Linked DNA regions of Lepisosteus oculatus. Each later gene encodes a partner of the first gene's protein in a complex. Links are inferred from orthologs where the notes say so. Each region holds a gene or a part of one and is shown on either strand. Other genes may lie near its edges.

The links.
Region 2: the proteins of rab9a (region 1) and sgsm1a are in contact, whole or in part, in a crystal structure (PDB 4QXA), measured with the Mus musculus proteins. The link is inferred for Lepisosteus oculatus from reciprocal best matches to the Homo sapiens genes RAB9A and SGSM1. Residues at the interface, in NP_062747.1 of Mus musculus: Phe37, Thr39, Ile40, Gly41, Val42, Glu43, Phe44, Leu45, Trp61, Arg68, Phe69, Leu72, Phe76; in NP_766306.2 of Mus musculus: Leu256, Leu257, Tyr258, Gly259, Lys260, Asn261, Asn262, Tyr277, Asn294, Met297, Asn298, Gln361.

The regions. Positions count from the first base shown.
Region 1 is NC_090708.1:21,968,233-21,971,986, forward strand, and holds the start of rab9a (ras-related protein Rab-9A), read left to right. Parts: upstream 1-1,112; 5' UTR 1,113-1,242; intron 1,243-1,256; exon of another isoform or gene 1,257-1,396; intron 1,397-3,754. UniProt on the Homo sapiens protein: The small GTPases Rab are key regulators of intracellular membrane trafficking, from the formation of transport vesicles to their fusion with membranes.
Region 2 is NC_090717.1:5,669,705-5,673,458, reverse strand, and holds the start of sgsm1a (small G protein signaling modulator 1), read left to right. Parts: upstream 1-1,451; 5' UTR 1,452-2,279; coding exon 2,280-2,298; intron 2,299-2,444; coding exon 2,445-2,488; intron 2,489-3,754. UniProt on the Homo sapiens protein: Interacts with numerous Rab family members, functioning as Rab effector for some, and as GTPase activator for others. Promotes GTP hydrolysis by RAB34 and RAB36.

The DNA.
Region 1 (3,754 bases):
AATTAAGTAAATTAGAATTAGCCCCTAGACACATTTATTACTGCTGAGGTGCTGCATATCTCTTGCAATACCTCAGTTTATCACTGTGACAGTTTACTGTTTACTGTGATACAGTAGGCCTTTTGAAATCTTCGTAGCACTGGGGCAATCAATTAACAGTCACAAACATTTAATGGTCCCCGATCTTCAATGATTTATGTATCAAAGGAGAGAGGAAAATTCAATGTGACAAGTTCCAGTCTCCAGAGTCATAGCAAAGGATAAATGTTTGCGTAAATGAGCCTTGCCCGGGGGTCACATTTGGATATAGAGTTCAAACAGCTTGACTATTCATGCCAGAGGTGGGAAGATTTTCATGAAGGCTTAAAGCCTGTCTGATCAAATGGATCGTAGCAGAAGGATCTTTTTTCCAGAAAGTTATTTAAAAATAATGTCTCTGTCTTGAAGATTCTCTGTTTGTTGATTCTACTGTGTGTCTCCCCTTGTTGCGTGTACTGTGCCACAGGTTTTGCTGGGTCATGCACGTAAATGTTGTTTTTATGTGATGTAATGCTGGTGAGTGTGATGGGTGTGTGCCCTTACAATTATCACTTTGCTGACTTCTGTAGAAATGTTCTAATAGGTTACTATAGAGAACTGGGACAATTCTAAACCGGCTATACTGTAGGCCATCCATTGCTTACTTCATAAGGGTGTTCACACTTAGCAAACGATCTTTGGACTAGGAATTTCAAGAGACAAACAGAGCTGTGAAGTACAGTACAGTTTAATGTGCTTCATGCAAATGTCTTAAAAGAGTTTTTTAAATAGTCATTCCCTGTAGTCTGTCCTTCAGTTCGCCTACATTGTACTACAATTGATGATCACCATTCTCCACATAAATGCCATTACACTAGCGCGCTAGGTGGATTTCTTTCGGAAAGGTGAACGTGTGTCTGCAAGCATGAACCGCTAACCCGTGTGTGAATACACGCTGAAGACTACTGCACTGAACGTTTACAATGCGTTTTGGAGAGCGTGTAGCTCCGGCAGGACCAGAATAGTTGCTTGTCCTTGTACTCGGAGAGATGATACCGGCGGCGGCGGAGCTCCGGCAGGAGGCGGGACTTGACGCGGGGTCACATGAGAGTCAGCGACGCCATGTCAGTGCGGAGCTGCGGGGCAGGGAGACCGGGAAGCGGTCAGTAAGACGTAAGAAGAGGCGATAGCACCGTCTGACGTTCACGCCGGTCCCCGATACAGGTGAGGCTCAGGTATCTCTGGGGGCTGCCCTGAAACTCGTAACGTGTCATGATCTGATTTCTGCCCGGGCAGCGTCACTGTTTTAATCGCGGCGAGGAATAGGCAGCTATAGTCATCTGGAGGTGGAAGAAAAGTGGCAGAGAAGCAGGCCAGGGTGAGAAACTTACTCAACTGTTTATTTCATAATAATGAATACTAAAAGCTTCACTTGGTTGCCCGCCTTGAAAATATTGTACTGTTTCTCTTAATGCATGATCTGCTAGTTGCTTTTTAGTGACGTAGCAGAGAGGCAGTTTGGTTTGTTTACGCTGAATTAAAACTTAATTTCTGCTGCGCGGTGCAGCAGATTCGTGTGTTTCTAGCTGTATTTTTAATTCAGCGACAACATTGCAATCTTGAAAACGTTTCTGTCGTTTACGAGTGAGCATCAGCGCACAGATCTCCTGTCTAGTGCGGGCCTTGATATTAACAGACGTCCAGTTTTGTTTTCTATATTGTCTTTGTCTGCTTTTGTTTATACGGGCAGTTTCCAGGTGACCTGCTCGGTACAGTATATAATAAGTTAAGTGAACTACACGTACAGAAGACGCTAGTCTGGATATCCCTCTGATACTCGCCTCTCATGACTCCAGGCTTGTGCAGTATTTAACTGTAAAAATGCCAGCTTCCTGGTGGAGTACTTATCAGGAAACACCCCGTAGAAAGAAATATGAAAAACGTTTATATCGGTATTAACATGTACATAGACCCTACTACTCTGTGAGTCTAGGGCGATTTTTATGCTACGAAATTGTTTAACATCAGTTCCTAATACAAAAATTTCTTAGGCGCAGAAGCTGGGAAGAAGAATTAGGTTTTATATCATAAGTAGATCAGTACAATGTATAATTCTGTACCAATATTTAGAAAGAAACTCTTTTTGTAATGGTGTTAGATCAATTACTTGGAACTGGCCACAGTTGGTTTATTTATTTATAGTAAAAGTTATAATTTACTATAAATACTCAGTTTACCTGTAATAAATGCAACCGTTTTTTTTAAGTTACTGTCGGTAACGATCAGGTACCGTATTGAGCTTGAGGGGTTGGGGGACACGAGTTTTTACTTTTTCGTGGGAGACGTATAGAAATCTGCGATCTTGTGACTTGGGAGCGAGTCCTATCTATTGCTGCTGGTCGCGGAGCACATGATTCAAGACACAAACAGAGGGGGTTTCCGAAAAATGAGCGCTGCGGGGCGCCGAGATTTATTTGTGATGTCTCAGGCTTGGCCCTGCAGAAATTGTTACTTTCATGAGAAGGTATTCGTGGGAGATCCTGGAAGGAACTGTGGGTGATGCTAGCAGACAAATGTGGCTGAACGAGAACGATTGAAATCAGGTTTTGTTTGCAGAAAATTGACTCTTTTTAAAGAAAATATGTGAAGTTCTCAACTATTAAATGCCAAAAGTAGATGTATTTTTTTTAACTAATCTACTAATAGCAGATGGTCGTTTGGAAAATTTGAAAGTTATTTTTTTTCAGACTTTTGACTCCATGAGAGCCACTGCAAGCTCTTTAAACATTTCCTAGACCAAACAAGTATTAAAGTTAAAATGTGGGGTGTTTTTCTACATTTGTTTCTTTTAGTGGCCTATCTATTGTTGCATACATGCTATCAAATTGTGATTTGATAGCATGTATTTAGGACTGTATGATTTGGATTCGTTGTTTCAGAACATTCTGGAAACTGTGACTTTGTAAGCATGCATGTGGTTAGTTCAGTGGTGATCTGAAAAATAAGGTCAATATACAACTGTGGTAAGATACTCCTCAACTAACGAAAGCAAACAACATTTCGCATCACTTTGTATATCAACTCTGCACAACATGGGATTAGGGTTATGAGACAAATAATACACACTTTCCCCACATTAAATGTAAGCTCTTCAGAGACTGGATAAAGACATGCTTTAAATGCATTTGAAAAACTGTCGTTAGAGGTTTTACTCCAGGTCAGTTCAGGCAACATAAACTAATAGTTGGTGTATATTGTATGCAGGCAATACTGGTGGTTTTGCAGCCTCAATGTGATCTACTGTTTTTCAACACATCAGATTCATATCTTACATGCTAAACTGTAAGATATAAACAATAGAACGAGAATCATCTATTTTGCCAAGATGTATTTTCTTACCAAGAAGATATTATATAAGATATATAAAAATATATTCTTAATAAAAGGGCGTTTTTATATTTATATATATTTTTTTTTACTATGCAAAGGGTTAGAATGATTTGTCTGAATTGTCCTGAAACATTGTAAAATCACTTAAAGCATAACATCCTTTTTATTTTTCAGTAATAGTTTTTTACACTGCAGTTCACGCTCCTGGAAAAAATCCTTGTTTGATACAGATTTAAATACTTCTGTTACCAACTGGAAGCCCAGCAGGCTGGGAACTGTGAATCCACCTGGGAGCCTGGGAGTGTCTCCCTGAGGCCCAGGAGAAATGTGAAACTGCAGGTGGGAA
Region 2 (3,754 bases), on another chromosome or scaffold:
TCGTACGGAAGACAAGCTGACCATTTACTTCTGTGCACATCTAGGAAAGTTTTCTTTTTATTAAATTCTAAAGCTTCTTAAAAAGGAAGCCTTAGATGAATCTACAAGTATTAAAATGAAGGGTTTGGTACTAAGAGAATCATAGTACATTTTACAATTATTAGCTACACCAAGTTAAATTTCAGCAGCAACATTTTATAATCCAAGAACGTTCTTTTTACAACAAAGTGATTATATTTTTCTGAACTTTAAAAACAAAATTGCTTTCAGGCATATAAACAATGCTACTAATAATAATTTGTGTAATTTCATACTTACATACCGTATGCAGTATGAACAATTAAGATGGGACTTAAACAGCACAACATTCTGGAAGGCTTCAATTTGCAAAGCTGTATCATTTTCCATCTTAGGCAATGTGTGAAATTAAATCCAAAGGCCTGTTCTATGTTCTTGTCACATAATCTTTTCACATTTTAATGTGGGAACAGAGACCCATTTATTTCCTTTAATTTATAATGCACGCTTGAATTTCGAACATCACACTGAATATTAATGTATTTGATGGACCCTTCAGTGATATCCACCTGCAGTTAAGCATTACTAATGAATGTCCTTACTGACCTTGAAATTCCCAATAAATTGAAAATTTATGACCCAAATGTAAGTACAGAAACGTAATGGCAGCTCAGTTTTTGCTCTGCTTGTTTCTATTTCCTAAAGTGATACTGTTTTTTTGATGAGGACCTTTATTTTGTTGAAGTGGTGCCACGAATGTATGTACAGTCATTCCCCTGAAGGAGTTTTTCCATGACAAGGAGTTTTTGGAGATTATATCTTTGAAAGTTCCTTGCTGATAGGCGTGTTCAACAAGCATACTATCTATATAGCTGGAGAAACACTCTGATCACACGCTGGGTAATCGGCTAATTAATTACATCTAGAAATAACAGAAAACAATATTGGGATATTAATGTATAACAAATTATTTTACAGGACTACCAGAAATCCTTGCAGGAAGTCCATCTGTCCTTTACCTAAGTCAGAGCACAAGACTGCATCAGCGAGTGAGCTGTACAGTAACAAGTAGATAATTCACAAGATGAAAAATGAAAGTTTTACTCTTTAGCATAGAATTAGCGTATCTTTTTTTCTCTGAGAGCAAGTGTAATCGGTGCCTATTGCCCAGGGTTGTTGCTTATAACACGGGAATTATGGACAGAGGACACTTGCCTCCTACATGTCACAAGCATATCTAGAATTGTTTATAGCTGATGAGCTATAACCTCAAAGAGCCTGGTGGACCTGTTCACTATATCTATATCTATCGTGTCCGCCTAATTATCTAAACTAATAAGGCTTACATGGTTGCTAAGCAACACAACATCCCCGGGAAGAAACGCTGCTCACGTGTTTTCTACCGAATCGCCTTCTGGTCTCTCTGTTTGGAGACAGAAACGAGTCTTAACGATTGTAGCATCTTGTCTTAAATTGCGCCTTAGTTATACAGTGTGCTAATTGTCGGTCTTAGCTCAGGTTGTGCACGTATGTGCTAACAACAGTTCGGTATTGTAGTTCGACTAGTCTGCAAATACCAATTTCGTGATGTTACTATTTAATTGCAAAATACACGCATTCACCTCATTATGCACGTTTTAGCATAATGCGTTAGGAGAGGTATACAAGTGGGTAATGAGATGTTTCGTACCTGTCCGTTGTTCCATTGCGTTTGTTTTATATAAAATTAATGTTTATAAATGTGTTATAACTTCGGAATGCCGATATACAACTTTAAGGTCTTGTAGTGAGGATAGCTAAGAAAAAAAAATACCTGTATAATCGGGACGTGTGGTGTAACTGAAATGCAGTTTAGTCTGAGTCTGCTATTTATGAGCAAAATTCTTCAAAGTGCTGTAAAGCAATTAATGCCCCTATTGCGCCTGCTTGTTCAACTTCAATTCGTAGGCGAGCACAGGCAGTGAAAACTTCTATTGAAATCTCGCGTATTCCTGTCAACGCAGTGGAAGTTCCTTGGGCTCCCTTAGTACTCCTTTAAAAGGCGGACTGTTCTAGGGAAGGAAGGGAAAAAAAAAACACTTCAGACCACCCTTTCCACAGCTTGCTGCTATTTGCTCTCCGCTGCTGTAGTGTACATTGCGTTCTGGGTAAGGAATGAGAGGAGCGAATGCGCCTCACTGAGCCGCCGCGACTTCGCACAGGTTCAGCCGAACGGTCGCTCTGGTCTTTCGCAGCTGAGAGGAGACAGCGCTACTGAATCCATGGCAACAGCGATGTCAGGTACAGAGAAAAGGGAATAAATATCACCATGTTTCGTTTTTGGTGCCTTTCTTAATGCAGTGTATTATATGAACGATTTTATTGGGTGCATGCTGCGTACCCTGCACTATGGAAAACAAATGTGTGTTTATTTGTCACGTTTTCAGAAGCGGAGACGCGTCAGAGACTGGTGCGGACGGTCAAGAAGGAGGTGGGTGATTTTTTTTCGCCTTTGAAAATATATCTGAATGTTTATGCATTGTACCTACCTTTAAAAAGCAGGCGAGTGAGTGGGGAAAGCTAGCCCTCTTGTATTATTGTGTCAATTGTACAGTCTTGATGGTATTGATGGATACGACAGCAGGATACTGCACAGATAATGTTTTGCAGCTAACGTTTATTTTGAGGACGTCTTCTTCAGGTGTTTAATTGTTTTAATACTTTGGTTTGGCTGGTTATTGGGGCTGCATATTTCTTTACTGATGTACATCCACCGGGCGTCACAAGAACACACACAGGGACGTTATCCGGGGTGAGATGAAGATCCTTTAGTGCATTCTTGTTTCACAAGAAGAGGGGTACGAATATATAGTCGGTAATTCAATTTCGGTGCCATCCTTACATGTTTTGGAACCGGAGCCACTTTAGTTAAACACCGAGAACATAAGAAGCTTCGGTTAAATGCTATGCAAAGTCAGTGGCTGGGATCTACTACACTTTGTCACTCTAGATCACATTGGATAGTCAAAAGATTTTATTTGAGTCGATTTATTGCTTATCCGTCAATCAACGCTAAAATCAAAGCAAGGGGGTTGTTCTTGGGTGTGTAAATGATGCGTAGTTTTGCACTTGTGAGCCCACTGTCAAAATGCTGCCAGCTGTTTCAGGTTCCCCTGTTTGTTTTGTTGTTGATGATGATTGTGTTGTTCAGTTTTTTCTATTGTTAAGATTTGATGAGAGAAACTGGGAGCTTTTTGGTTTGTTGTAATAAGCTAGCCAGTTGAATTCACCTTCTTAAAAAAATCTACAGACAAATTTTAACAAGCAGCTCTATAAAATTCCAACATTAGCACCCCTGCCTAACTGTGCTGACCATACTGATGTTAAGCATGAAGATAGTGCATTATTGACACTTAAAACATCATGCAAGGGATCTTATTTGGATTAATGGTTTTGTATTTTCTCTTATTGTAATGTGCTGTTTCTTTGTTAAGCTCATTTAGTGCAATGCAAGTTTATGGAAAAAATACAGTGGTAATTGAAATGGCTGTTTTCTTTTCTTACTGAGCCACAAGGTGTATTATTTATTCATACAGTGTTGCTGTGTACAAGCATGCAAAAACTCCTGACTGCAGTACTGTATGATATGATGCACCCCTCAATTCCACACCCCTTCTAAAAAGTCAATACACCTGACCAGTACATTACACCAGGTTTTCTGATATATTTCAGATTGATGGTCATATATTATTTCATG